Drosophila melanogaster: one gene and its partners. The protein of the gene in region 1 interacts with the protein of each later gene in a pairwise test. Each region holds a gene or a part of one and is shown in the gene's direction. Other genes may lie near its edges.

Region 1 (4,827 bases):
AAATTATAAAAGCTCTTGAATAAAAACGCAAAACTGAAAATGAAAACTTCTTGTTGGGTTCTCTTTGGGTTGTCAGGGAAAACAAACCCCCAAATGATTGCTTTATAATTGCGGCGAGGTGGTCATATATCATCTATACGGGGGTTGTAAGACTGGTAACCAATAATGATGAGTGCTCTTGGGTGATTCCTTATAATCATGCCCAAATAACGGCGAACTGCAGTAATGAAATGCCATTAAGGGCCATTGACATGGTCCATCGATCTGGGACCGACTAAAACAAATACCAAAACACACTAACTGCCAAGGCGGAAAAGCGGAAGTGGACCATTGAATCGGACAGATGCATTTGGGCACTGGGCTAAGGACGAGGAAACTTGATGACGATGGGGTGGAATCCCAGGGTGTTTTCAACTCAGTCTCTGGTCGGTCCATAGTGAAACTCTAAACGGGCCAAACTAATGATGCTCTCAACGGAAACGCGTAAAAAATGTTTAATCAAATACAAATGCATGACAGCACGGAAAAAAGGCGAACAGGATATGCCAGGATATGCTAGGATAGTACGGGATGCGAGGGTGCAGCTGAATAAAACTAAAGGATGCGGGGGTGGCAGTTGCGTGCGCGGTGTGAATCAATTTAAAGCGTCAAAAGATGTGGATGTCCTTCCCCTCGCACAGCGAAAATTGTGTAAAATCATGCCGCAAAAACAACCCCGTCGATGTTTTCAAGGGGGCGATGCAGCAGCCGTAAGTCACCAACATCTGTGTCTGAAGGCCTGAAGCAAACAAAAAACATAAAATACTAATAAAATGATCTCGAAACCGATACGTTTTGCAGTTTGCACCTTGGCACGGGACATTCCTGTACTGTGGTACCCGCATTAGATGGTTCGATGTCCAACAAGTTTCCATTTCTGCGGGTCAAAGGCAGCTGCTCGAAGGATCTTACTTCCTTTCAGGTCCTCGGGACTCTTATCCTGCTGCTCTGCTAATTTGCACCTTGAGAGGCATGTTGGCTTGGAAATCCGTTCGAGACTACCTTATGCAGGTCCTTTGTTCGCCCAAGTGGCCATGTGTTCTAATGGCACTCCTCCAAGGAGTTGACAGATTGATGAGCGCGATTGGCAGATTTGAAGTGCCGACCACTCGAGTAATCCATTTGATTACCATCATCATTGGCAGGCCACTTAGAATTGCCCGCCCAAGGGGTTTTTCAATATGCAAATTGTTATTATGTATGTTGCTGCTACAGTTGCTGGAGATCCTGCACATGATATGAAAGGATATCTTTGTACTAACATGCTGGGTAATTATTCGCGATCTTTGTAATCCATTTGATCATGGCACTTAAAATCCTAAAAAAATTAATTCACAATGCAGCAAAAATCCCTTTGAAGCAATGCTACATAGTTAGCCCACGGATTTTCAATTCGAATAACTTATCTGTAATATCTTCCGGAACTTCTCCTTTTACATAAATACAAATAATACGTTGAAAGGCTCTTATACGTTTTAAACATATGAAGCTGCTTATAAGGCCCGAAAGCTTCCAAAGCTCCAACTGATTGCGAAAGCGCTCCCGTGCAACACTGCCAAGTCGCAGGTCCTGGCAGCCATCGAAATGCAACGCGGCGTTAAGTTGGCAGCTTCGACTGTCTAAGGAAATAACGGTTATCGGGAAATTTTCTCCGGCAGAGAGACGCCTACACAGAGGAGTACGTGGAGTGCCGAGTTCGAGTCTCAGCCGGAATCGCACACCTGACATTCATGTTGTGGCCATTCTGGCAGTCAGACGTGTGGATCGCAAGTCCGGAAAGCCAAGAGCCGTAGCCCCAAGTGCAAAGTGGAGGAAAGGTCTCAAGCAGATTCGCTGTCCGTGAACGGTTTACGGTTGCGGTTTACTACGACGTGTCGCGTCTCAGATTTTCATCCGGTAAATAGTGACTTGAAATAGTTACTTGCGAGTCGAGATGAGGTGTTAGTTTCTTTGAAAATTGGAAAAGCACAGAGAAAACTGTTCGTTCAAAGTCGCAGCATGTGCTAGGGGGTGGTGACTTGGTGGGTGGTTCCGGATGGGGATGTCCTGTGAAAGAGAGCAGCTCGACTTATTGATTGAGCTTTCCGCGCTCGCTCTCTGTGCCAAAATACGGGTACTTTTGCTTGGGGAGCGCGGAAAAGCTTTTGTCCGTTTTCCCGCTGCCACTGCTGCTTGCCTTGGGTGAATTTTTCAGCAATTTTCATTTTCAGTTTTTCTCCCGACTGTTTTAGGGCGGTTCCGCAAGTAGCAGCGAATCCTGCGATTTAAGCACACTCAACTCGAACGCGTATGAAAATTCCGTTTACCCCAAGGAAATTAAAACACAGGCTTAGCCAAAATTAAATGAATTTAACAAACATTTGCCGCAAAGAACTGGGAAAATAATGTGGAAAATGTGGAAAGTCGAAAGGCACGCAGGATAATATATGAAAATATTATGACAAAATGTGTTGTTATTGTTTGAGTGTGTGGCCTGCTTTTAAACGCGTGCGTGTGCTTGTGTGTCTGCGTGGCTCCTTTGTGTTTGTAAAATTCAATAAATTGCAAAGGATTGCAATTGCCAAAATGGCAAATTACAACAAAATGCGCACATACACATGGAAATTTGTCAGAACAGAAATTTGGGCAGTGTGTGCGCGTAGTTTTGATTTTCTCTGCGGGCTCTGTGGCTTACTCTCCGTCTGTATATGTGTGTGTGTGTGTGGCTCTCAGAGTGCTGTGTGTGTGTGCGTGTGTATGTGTGTGGTTGTATCTGTGTGAATGTCCTTCGCTGCTTACGTACGCAGACTGAGTGACTCGATTGAGGCGGCTGCCTGAATGGCTGGCAGGTCCTGTGCTCCTTTTTCCTTTGTGAAATGAATGCGTATTCAATGAGCAATGAAATCCGTGACACATTCGCGCCTTCGCTCTCTATCTCTCTCTTCCCCGTTTTCCCCCATTTTCCGCAGCACTCTCCGTGCATTTTCCATTTAATTTATTTTTTATTGCTCCGGCCCGCCTTTGTTCTTCGCCCAATATCCGTTTTAAATAAAAGCGACATTAACACCATAACCTTCTGACATTTATCTGTCTCTCGGTCTTAAATGCTCACCCAGACATGGTCGCAAATGCCGCAGAGCAGAGAGAAGCTTGCCACATGTGCGTCCTTTTGTCCCTTGAGCTGCCTTGAACATTCCTTTGGCCCATTCGCTTGCGAATTCCCGCATAAGTTAACCAATTAATTGGCTGGAAAAGTGTTAGAAAATACTACACTTTTCTCTTGACTGAGTCGCAATAATATTAATAAATTCCTCAACAATATCTATGCCAACTGCAGTTCGATCTAAACCAAACTAAACTAAGCTCAACTAATCCAAAACTAAACCAAGCCAAAGACCAAACAAAATAGAGAAAAACTTGTTGAAGTACTTGATTGATGTGTGTGCCCAATTGGCTGCCGAATTGAGCGAGCTAAACCGAGAAGGAGTCTCCGCTGCCTGGAAAAAAGGTGAGTCAACCGACTGTCTGTTTATATTAAGATTGGGGAAAGCGGCGGGGAAAACTAGCTGCCATTTTCTGCTCTGAATCCAGTAACAAAATGGTTAGTTGCTCAACCGTCAAGAAGAAACTACTCACTGATTTCTTATAATTTTGATTTAGGTTTAAGATTTTTTAACCCTTTGCTTGTGCCATAAAGGATTTTTTTATATTATCCAATCGGTTCGATTTCTTTCTTAGCTATTTCCCAAGTCTACTTAACGATAGCTCAAGGCTGATTAAAATCGCTAAAATTACATTGTCATCCAGTTTATTTGCGTTTTTGAAGGCTTCTAATCACTTATTCAAAGTGTAAAGCAGCTGGATCAGAAGTTCTCCAAGTAAAATCACACATAGAGAAATAAATATAGACCTCATTTCAGCATCCCCCTGAAAGCCAAACACAAGAATTAATTACTCACTTTCCAGGACCATCACTCTGAGCCGAAAATCAACCCGAATTTGGGTCTCCGTTCGGTTTTCAATCAGCAATCAGCGAGAATAAAAAGTTGTGAAAAGTTCCCATCCCCTTCCCCGGTCGAAATGTCCATTTGCGGATTAGGCAGCCTGGCCAGCAACTGTATCCTTTATAAACAGCCGCTGGTCCTGCGAAAAGGGTTTTCCGAAGCATGTAGCATAATTTGAAGTGCACACACTTCCGACGGCCGAAAATATTGTTTGGTGTTTCACAAAAAAGTCTATTAATAAAAATAAGCAAAAATCACTGGGCGTCCGAAATTGACCCGCAGTAAGAAAAGCCAGCGAGCAATTTTCTTAGCCAGCCAGCAAACTTCAGCGAATCAACTTGGCCAAGAACATTTTTTTTTTTTGCCTGCCCCAGTGCGTTTACTTAAGCAATCAACTCAACCTCAAACACACACTCACTTCGTCCTGTTTATACGTATTTTTTTTCGTTATATTATAACAACTAAAGGAGGCCGCAAAGTTTGTGTGCACACAGAAAAATGCTGTGGCAAAATCGGGGAAAACCCTTTGCCATCGAAACGAATTTGGAGCAGAAATCGCAGTGCATTTGGGGGTATCTCCCTGACATCTTCGCAAGTGTGTGTGTGTGTGTGTCTGTGTGCGTTGCTGTTTGTTTGTGTGCGGCAGACAAATAAAACATTTGCGCGGAGGCAAAGTTTGTTTAGGTTTTCAATTCGTTCTTTGGGTTTGGAAAATGGAATCAGCATCGGAAACTGAATCTGGATCCAGCGAAACATTTACACGCGTGCATAACAAAGAACGTGCAAATTCTCACGTCAACACACA
Region 2 (3,572 bases), about 18 Mb from region 1:
AAGTGAGCCGCCTGTCCAGATGAACACCCAGATATGTTACCTCGTCGGCTTGTGGAATGCATATGTTATTCAAGACCAGTGGTGGGCATGTTTGTTTGTTTAAGGTAAAGGTAACCTGCTTGCATTTTTGAACATTTATTGAAATTCTCCAGTCGGCAAGCCATCGTTCTACAGATGATAAGTGTCGGGATAGGAGTGCCGTGGCTTTTATTGGGCATTTGGAGCGACTGAGTATCGCGGTATCATCAGCGAACGTGGAGGTTGTTAGATTGTAGTCTATGGGGAAATCCGCCGTATACAGGGTGTATAAGATTGGATCCAGTACACTGCCTTGCGGCACTCCAGCTTCGATTGCGCAATCGCGTGAAGTGCTTGTATCGCATCTTATTGCAAACACTCTGTTATATAGGTATGACTTCAGTAGCTTATGTGTGTTTTGGGGCAACAGCTTGATTATTTTAAACAAAAGTCCATCGAGCCACACTCTGTCAAATGCCTGCGCGACGTCTAGAAAAATGGCTGTGCAGTATTCTCGATGTTCAAAAGCAGTACGAATTTCTGACGTGATTCGGTTGACCTGTTCGATGGTTCCATGTTTTTCTCTAAAGCCAAATTGATGTGTTGGAAGTGTGTTGTTTATTCTAAGATGAGGGCTAATCCGAAGGAGTAGCATTTTTTCAAACAGCTTTGAAAGACATGTTAGTAAGCTTATCGGTCTATATGATGATGGCTGCGTTTTATCTTTTCCTGGCTTTGGAATCATTACTATGGTCGACTTTTTCCATTTTTGAGGGAAGTATCCAAGCTTATCGATTGCGTTGAACAACAGGCAGATGTGAAGAATAGCACACTTTGGGAGTTCAATGAGCATTCTTGGAGTTATTAGGTCGTAGCCAGGCGATTTTCTTGGGTTCAGTTGCTCTTTGATAACCTTTGCTAGTTCACATGGTCGGAATTCAAAGGGTTCTTGAGGATCTAGATTGGCTGCTATTAAAGGAGGGAGAATAAATGTGTTGGTAGAGGGATTTGGTCGGAATACATTTTGTAAATGGTCAGCGAAAGCACAGGCTCTTTCTTCATCACTTCGAAACCAGGTGCCAGAGGGACTTCGTAGTGGCATAATTGGCGCTATTGGAGTCTTTAGGTTTCTGTGAGCTCTCCAAAGAGGGTACTTAGTGCTGGTGGGAGAGAGTTGCTCGATATATGAACGTTGGCTGTTTTTTTCCTCTTGTTTGAGAGCATTGGTAAGCCTGCGTGTGGGTATCTTAAGCATGTGCTTTGTAATTGGTGATCTATTAGACTGCCAATCCCTTCGTAGGCGTCGTTTATCTAATACCAGCCGCTCTATCATTTTTAAAACAGATTATACCGTATACACCTATACCTAATAAAACTTTATGACCGCGCAGCTGCTGTTGTACTCAATTATTAGCACAACTTGAATGCTCATAAAATATATGACGGATTAGGTAAAAGGAAAATCCACAAGTAGATTTGTAACACCAAAGGATATATGTACCTTCACAGTCTACCTGTTACCCTGTAGTACTAGTTTGTATATAAGCCAGGTGGACGAAGATAAGGATATCACTCAGCAACTGAATCTTGCCATAGATACATCTCAGTGCTTCCGGAGCAAACTGAAAGAGTAATCATCTATTTGTGCCTGAAATTGGTAAATCGTCCAACAAAGCTATATCCACCTTTAGTTTTCGAATCCAAAGTTTCCATATCTCAATCATGTTCGACGAGCCCATAATCTCCAGCTTCGTTTTTACCAACGAGGAGACCACGCAGACATTCCACCACCAGTGGTTTTCCCAGGGCCAGTTACACGAATGTGCCACCTGCTACAGCTCCATCGACGCAGATGAGCCGCCCTCCCAGCATTGGCTGCGGGGAGGAGAAGCATCACAGGGCTTGCATCTTACCAAGCAACAGCAGGCCGTTATGGATATTATCGAGGCCCGCCAGATCGAGACTTTCTTCTTCTGCGACGAGAGTTCCAAGGACAAGCTGGAACACTTCATGGGCGAGACCTGTGCGAGGGGAATCCCCGAGCTTCTCCGCTGGATGTTCCAGAACAACACCGTGGCCGTGGAGTTCAATCTGGCCTGCTACGTGAACGCCATGGACCAGGTGTTGATCTTTCAGAGCGGCTCGCTGAGGGCGGACCACCACTACGACGTAGACGAATCCGTGGGCGTGGTCTACGAGATGCTTATGCAGAGGATTGAAAACTACCTCAACTGCAGCAGCGAGTACGGCATGGCAGAGTGCAGCATCACCAGATTGAAAGTACAGGTGAAGAGGATTAGGGTGGAGGCGGACGGTCAGTCAGCGGACTCGTCCGTCTTCGCCCTACCCCTGCAGCTTCAGGAGGAGGAGGGCCTGACCGCCACTACCGGCTGCTCCACCAGCGAGGCAGAGCTTGCCAGTCTGCGCTCCGCCTACCTGAAGCACTTCCGCGAGTGCAACGGCTACTTCCCGCCCAACATGCGCGTCAATCTCTACGGACTGCAGCAGTGCAAGACCACCAAGGAGCTGTATGTGGTGCCCTATCATATCAGCGAAACCCTCCAGCAGCTGCCCAACAAGAACTTCCTCATCCTGAACAATATCATGGGCCAATTCCAGCGGCTCCACGAGCTCTCCACCCCCGTCAATTCCATCGAAAGGGATCAGACCAGCTCGCCGCTAAAGGACCTCCACTGCCGGAGGTGTCGCACCCAGTTCTCGCGACGCAGCAAACTGCACATCCACCAGAAGCTGCGCTGTGGCCAGGACTTCTCCGTGGACAGCATGCACGCGGACATCGTGGAGATCTACGAGCAGTGCCTGCCCATCTCGAGAAGCGTCTTCCAGCACGCCTGCTACGGCATCACCAAGCCCAAGACCATGATGCGGAAGGGTCAGTTTGTGCCCATCGAGTGCGACTGGCGCAGCGAGAGCTCCGTGAAGGTGCAGCACGGCCCGTGTGTCGTCATCAGCAACGCCCAGCACAATAGTCCTTGTAAATTTTATTAAATAAACGATAACTTTTAAGCTGAAACTTAATTCTTTCTTTTAACCAGGGGGTAAATCAATGTAAGGGTAGTGGCGGTTGCAATAATAGCTAATAACTTTTAATAATAGGTGAAAATTTTTAGGAATTTTATACGTTTTATTGCAAAGCCAAACGTTTAAGACAATATTTATTATTAATTGTGAGCACCTCTCGCCACTGTCGTTGGCAGACATCCAGACATCTCCGCGACAGGAGTACGTGACCGAGTACGGGACCGACTGCAAAAATATTAACCACTGTTGTTAACCAGATTAAATAAAATACTAACATTTGTAACTAACATGCTTGTACCTATATTTGTAGCCCCAACTATATGTGTGCGAATGCAACAGGCTGATTTATTAATGAGCGCAGGATTTTGGCTTTCTCAGGGCAGATAGCCAACAGTTTTAATATGTATGCTACGTCTGATTTACCACCCTTATATTAAATCAATAATTTAATATTCCCTGCCGTCGATTTCACCAAACTTGACGCCTTTCTTCTCTGAGTTCTTCCACTCGAT
Region 3 (3,395 bases), on another chromosome or scaffold:
GTGTCTTCTTATTGCGATTGGCGCTGCCGTACAAATCGGCGCGACTGCTGCTATCGAATCCTTCGAACTCGTGCTTGTGCTCTTCCAGGAATTCGTGCATCTGGGCAATGGCGAACTCGTCCTCGGTCTTTTCGTCCACTGGGTTGGAACGATCGCCGTTCTTGCACTCCTGCTCCTTGTAATCCTCGATGAGAACCTTGTTCTTGGCATCTACCTTGGCTACCAGCTTCTTGCCATCGATTTCCATCTCGCTGAGCAGGCGAACGGCTCGCATTGCCGCAATAGGTCCGCTGAAAGAATGCCAAGGAAAGCGGTTAGGCAGAGTATTTATAGGAACAATTGGAGAGCCAAATGGGTGGACTGCCCGTTGGCTCTAAACATAAATGTATGCAAGCTCAACCCTGTGTTGTATTGCTTAAAGTTAGGTTACTTAAAAGTGCTCGAGTAGTTATTCGATCGCGCATATAGAATTTGAAGAGCTGTCGCAGTAGGGAGCATTCCTAGAAGTATTTCAATCTTTTTATAAATAAGCTAAGCTATTCTAGGAAACGCATCAAACAACGAGTGAGATGCGTTATGCTGCTGTTTATGCAATGGCTCTTCAATTACTTTTCTAGCGTTATTTAACTAACGAAACCTTCTTGTGCTGCCCTAAGCCTTCTAAAGTGATTTTGGGATGACCGATTTATGGTTGAACGTACTCAAATTCGCAGAAGCCGAATGTGGACACCCGTTTCCAATTGATTACCACGCCGCAAGCGTTCAGGATGCGTTTGAGCAGTGCCTCCGGGACGCGTTCGCTGATGTTGCCCACGAAGACGGTAATGATGGGTCCGCGGAACTGTGGTTGCGGCTCCGGCGGACGTTGGTATACTGTCGGCTGTGAACTAATGGTGGCCGAGTTACGGAAGCTCCTCGGCGGCTTGGCCATGTTCTGCATTATCTGAAAGCGGATGGAGTAGGTGGAAAAGGATTTGGCGTCAGATTCTGACAGCTTCATGGTGATTGTGACCCAGAAAAGGTGGACTTACGTGCGGCGGCGGTATGGCTGTATTCATGAAGGGCGGCATGGGCGCCCGCGGCGGGTACGACATCTTGTGCGCTGCGACTCCTTTGCGATGTCCTTTGAAAACACAACTTTAGCGAGCTTGCAAAATTAAAGCCGACAATTCACAAACACACTCACGCACGCACAGACGAGCGACACACACACACACAGGCACGCACGGATGGGCGCAAACGCCACACGGAGTGATAAATATGTGTGTGAATGTCCTGTTTCGTGCTTACGAAGCTGGACGCCCGCAAGGTTCACTGATCGAATCTCGGAAAGGTTGGCCTGTAACTTCTGGGTTCACGGCGCGTGATAAATCCACGCGTAAATTACCGAATAGAATATCTTTTTTCTGCAGCCGTTGCTCTAGAGATGGTAGCTGCTGGCAAGCTGCTATCGGCTGATGGCGTGTAAAAATCGATGGGGGTCGTACAGTTATCGATTGCCATTGCGGGGCATACAATCGATTTACAGCGGTAAGCGACTGAAGGAGTTGCCATCGATGTGCGTGCGCTCACCTCTAGTAACGTAACCGAAAAAGAACCAAATATTACTTGCAATAATACATAACAAAACAATGCGTGTGGGCCAGCTGCTCCGCTTCCGGAGCACCAGCTTGCGCAGCTCCACCGCCAGGCAGGAGTACGTGCCGCATCACAAGCCCGTCGTGGAGGACGACATCAAACGGCTGGAGGACTTTCTCCTGTCCAAACCGAATGTTTTGGTTCTCACGGGCGCTGGCATCTCGACGGAATCGGGTGAGTTTCATGATTTTCCGACTTTTCTATGTTCAGAAGCCATTAACACAAATATTTCAGATTGACTTCCAAAAGCTTGTACATTATTCATTTATTTATATAATGCTAATGCAAGTGACTTCTAGCTTATACTTGGATTCGCATTAGTATTTTATTTAAATCAACATTTCTGGCTGTCTAAAAACTTGAAATAAATTCCAGGGATTCCCGATTACCGTTCCGAAGGCGTGGGCCTCTACGCCCGCTCCAACCACAAGCCCGTCCAGCACATGGAGTTCGTCAAGTCGTCGGCGGTGCGCAAGCGGTACTGGGCCAGGAACTTTGTGGGCTGGCCCAAGTTTTCTGCCACACAGCCCAATGCCACGCATCACGCGCTGGCCAGATTCGAGCGGGAGGAGCGGGTCCAGGCGGTGGTCACCCAGAACGTGGACCGGCTGCACACGAAGGCGGGCAGCCGAAATGTTGTGGAGGTTCATGGCAGTGGCTATGTGGTCAAGTGCCTGTCATGCGAGTACCGGATCGATCGTCACGAGTTCCAGAGCATACTGGCGTCGCTAAATCCGGCCTTCAAAGATGCCCCCGACATGATCCGGCCCGATGGCGATGTAGAGATACCGCTGGAGTACATCGAGAACTTCCGGATACCCGAGTGTACGCAGTGCGGCGGCGACTTGAAGCCGGAAATTGTCTTCTTCGGAGATTCTGTGCCTCGGCCACGAGTGGATCAGATTGCCGGCATGGTGTACAATAGCGATGGCCTGCTTGTCCTCGGGTCCAGTCTCCTGGTCTTCTCCGGCTACCGCGTTGTCCTGCAGACCAAGGACCTCAAGCTACCGGTGGGCATTGTTAATATTGGCGAAACGCGCGCCGATCACCTGGCGGATATCAAGATATCCGCCAAGTGCGGCGATGTCATACCCAAACTGTTCGACTTTCGCAATTCGAAAAGCGTCAGTTAATACTCACAGTTGTTATATGTTGACCCCCACTAAATTTGTAGTTATGGAAAGCCAGGCTTTCTATTTTAGCTAAAAAATAAATGTTAATGATTACTATTTGCAAATGGAATGTAGCGTTGCAACGGAGCTCCTGATTTATGGCTGTGCCTTTGGATCATTTTCGCGCAGGCTCCTCTGGAGCGAAACACAATGACACGCTTTCCGGGAAAAGGATTCGCTCATCCCCCAAGCACATGGGTTCCGAGTCCATGTCCTCTCTGTCTCTCTCAGTGTCCTGTGCTCTGAAATTCCAGCACATCCCAACAGGAAGCGGAAGCAGGAGCGCCGGGGAGAGCTGCGCACTTCCGCTCGCTCCCGTTGAATGTTTTTGTTTTTGCTCCAGGCCGCTGCTCTCAGTGCTCCATATAAATGAACCGCAATTGAGGCATCGGCATCTCCCGCTCGCACACACAAACACACATCGCACACACACATACACGGCCAGTGACACTTTTCACACGCGGTTCATTACCCCCCCTCCTACGACAATCGTCCATTCCTGCTAGAAAAACAATGCGTAGACCTCGCACAATGGGCAAAATCGAAGGACTGCTAAGAATAATAATAATAATAATATAATTATAT

Evidence for each region.
Region 2: the proteins of Glut1 (region 1) and term interact in a two-hybrid assay, tested with the Drosophila melanogaster proteins (one large-scale study listed by BioGRID).
Region 3: the proteins of Glut1 (region 1) and Sirt4 interact in a two-hybrid assay, tested with the Drosophila melanogaster proteins (one large-scale study listed by BioGRID).

The regions. Positions count from the first base shown.
Region 1 is NT_037436.4:912,284-917,110, forward strand, and holds the start of Glut1 (glucose transporter 1), read left to right. Parts: upstream 1-1,790; 5' UTR 1,791-1,935; exon of another isoform or gene 1,936-2,326; intron 2,327-3,355; 5' UTR 3,356-3,526; intron 3,527-4,827. UniProt on the Drosophila melanogaster protein: Facilitative glucose transporter.
Region 2 is NT_037436.4:18,591,780-18,595,351, reverse strand, and holds term (terminus), read left to right. Parts: upstream 1-1,580; 5' UTR 1,581-1,740; coding exon 1,741-3,027; 3' UTR 3,028-3,049; downstream 3,050-3,572.
Region 3 is NC_004354.4:5,664,105-5,667,499, reverse strand, and holds Sirt4 (sirtuin 4), read left to right. Parts: upstream 1-1,559; 5' UTR 1,560-1,631; coding exon 1,632-1,812; intron 1,813-1,872; exon of another isoform or gene 1,873-2,013; coding exon 2,014-2,771; 3' UTR 2,772-2,872; downstream 2,873-3,395. Other genes in the region: CG4119 (uncharacterized protein), read right to left, coding at 1-290, 702-943, 1,032-1,094. UniProt on the Drosophila melanogaster protein: NAD-dependent protein deacylase. Catalyzes the NAD-dependent hydrolysis of acyl groups from lysine residues.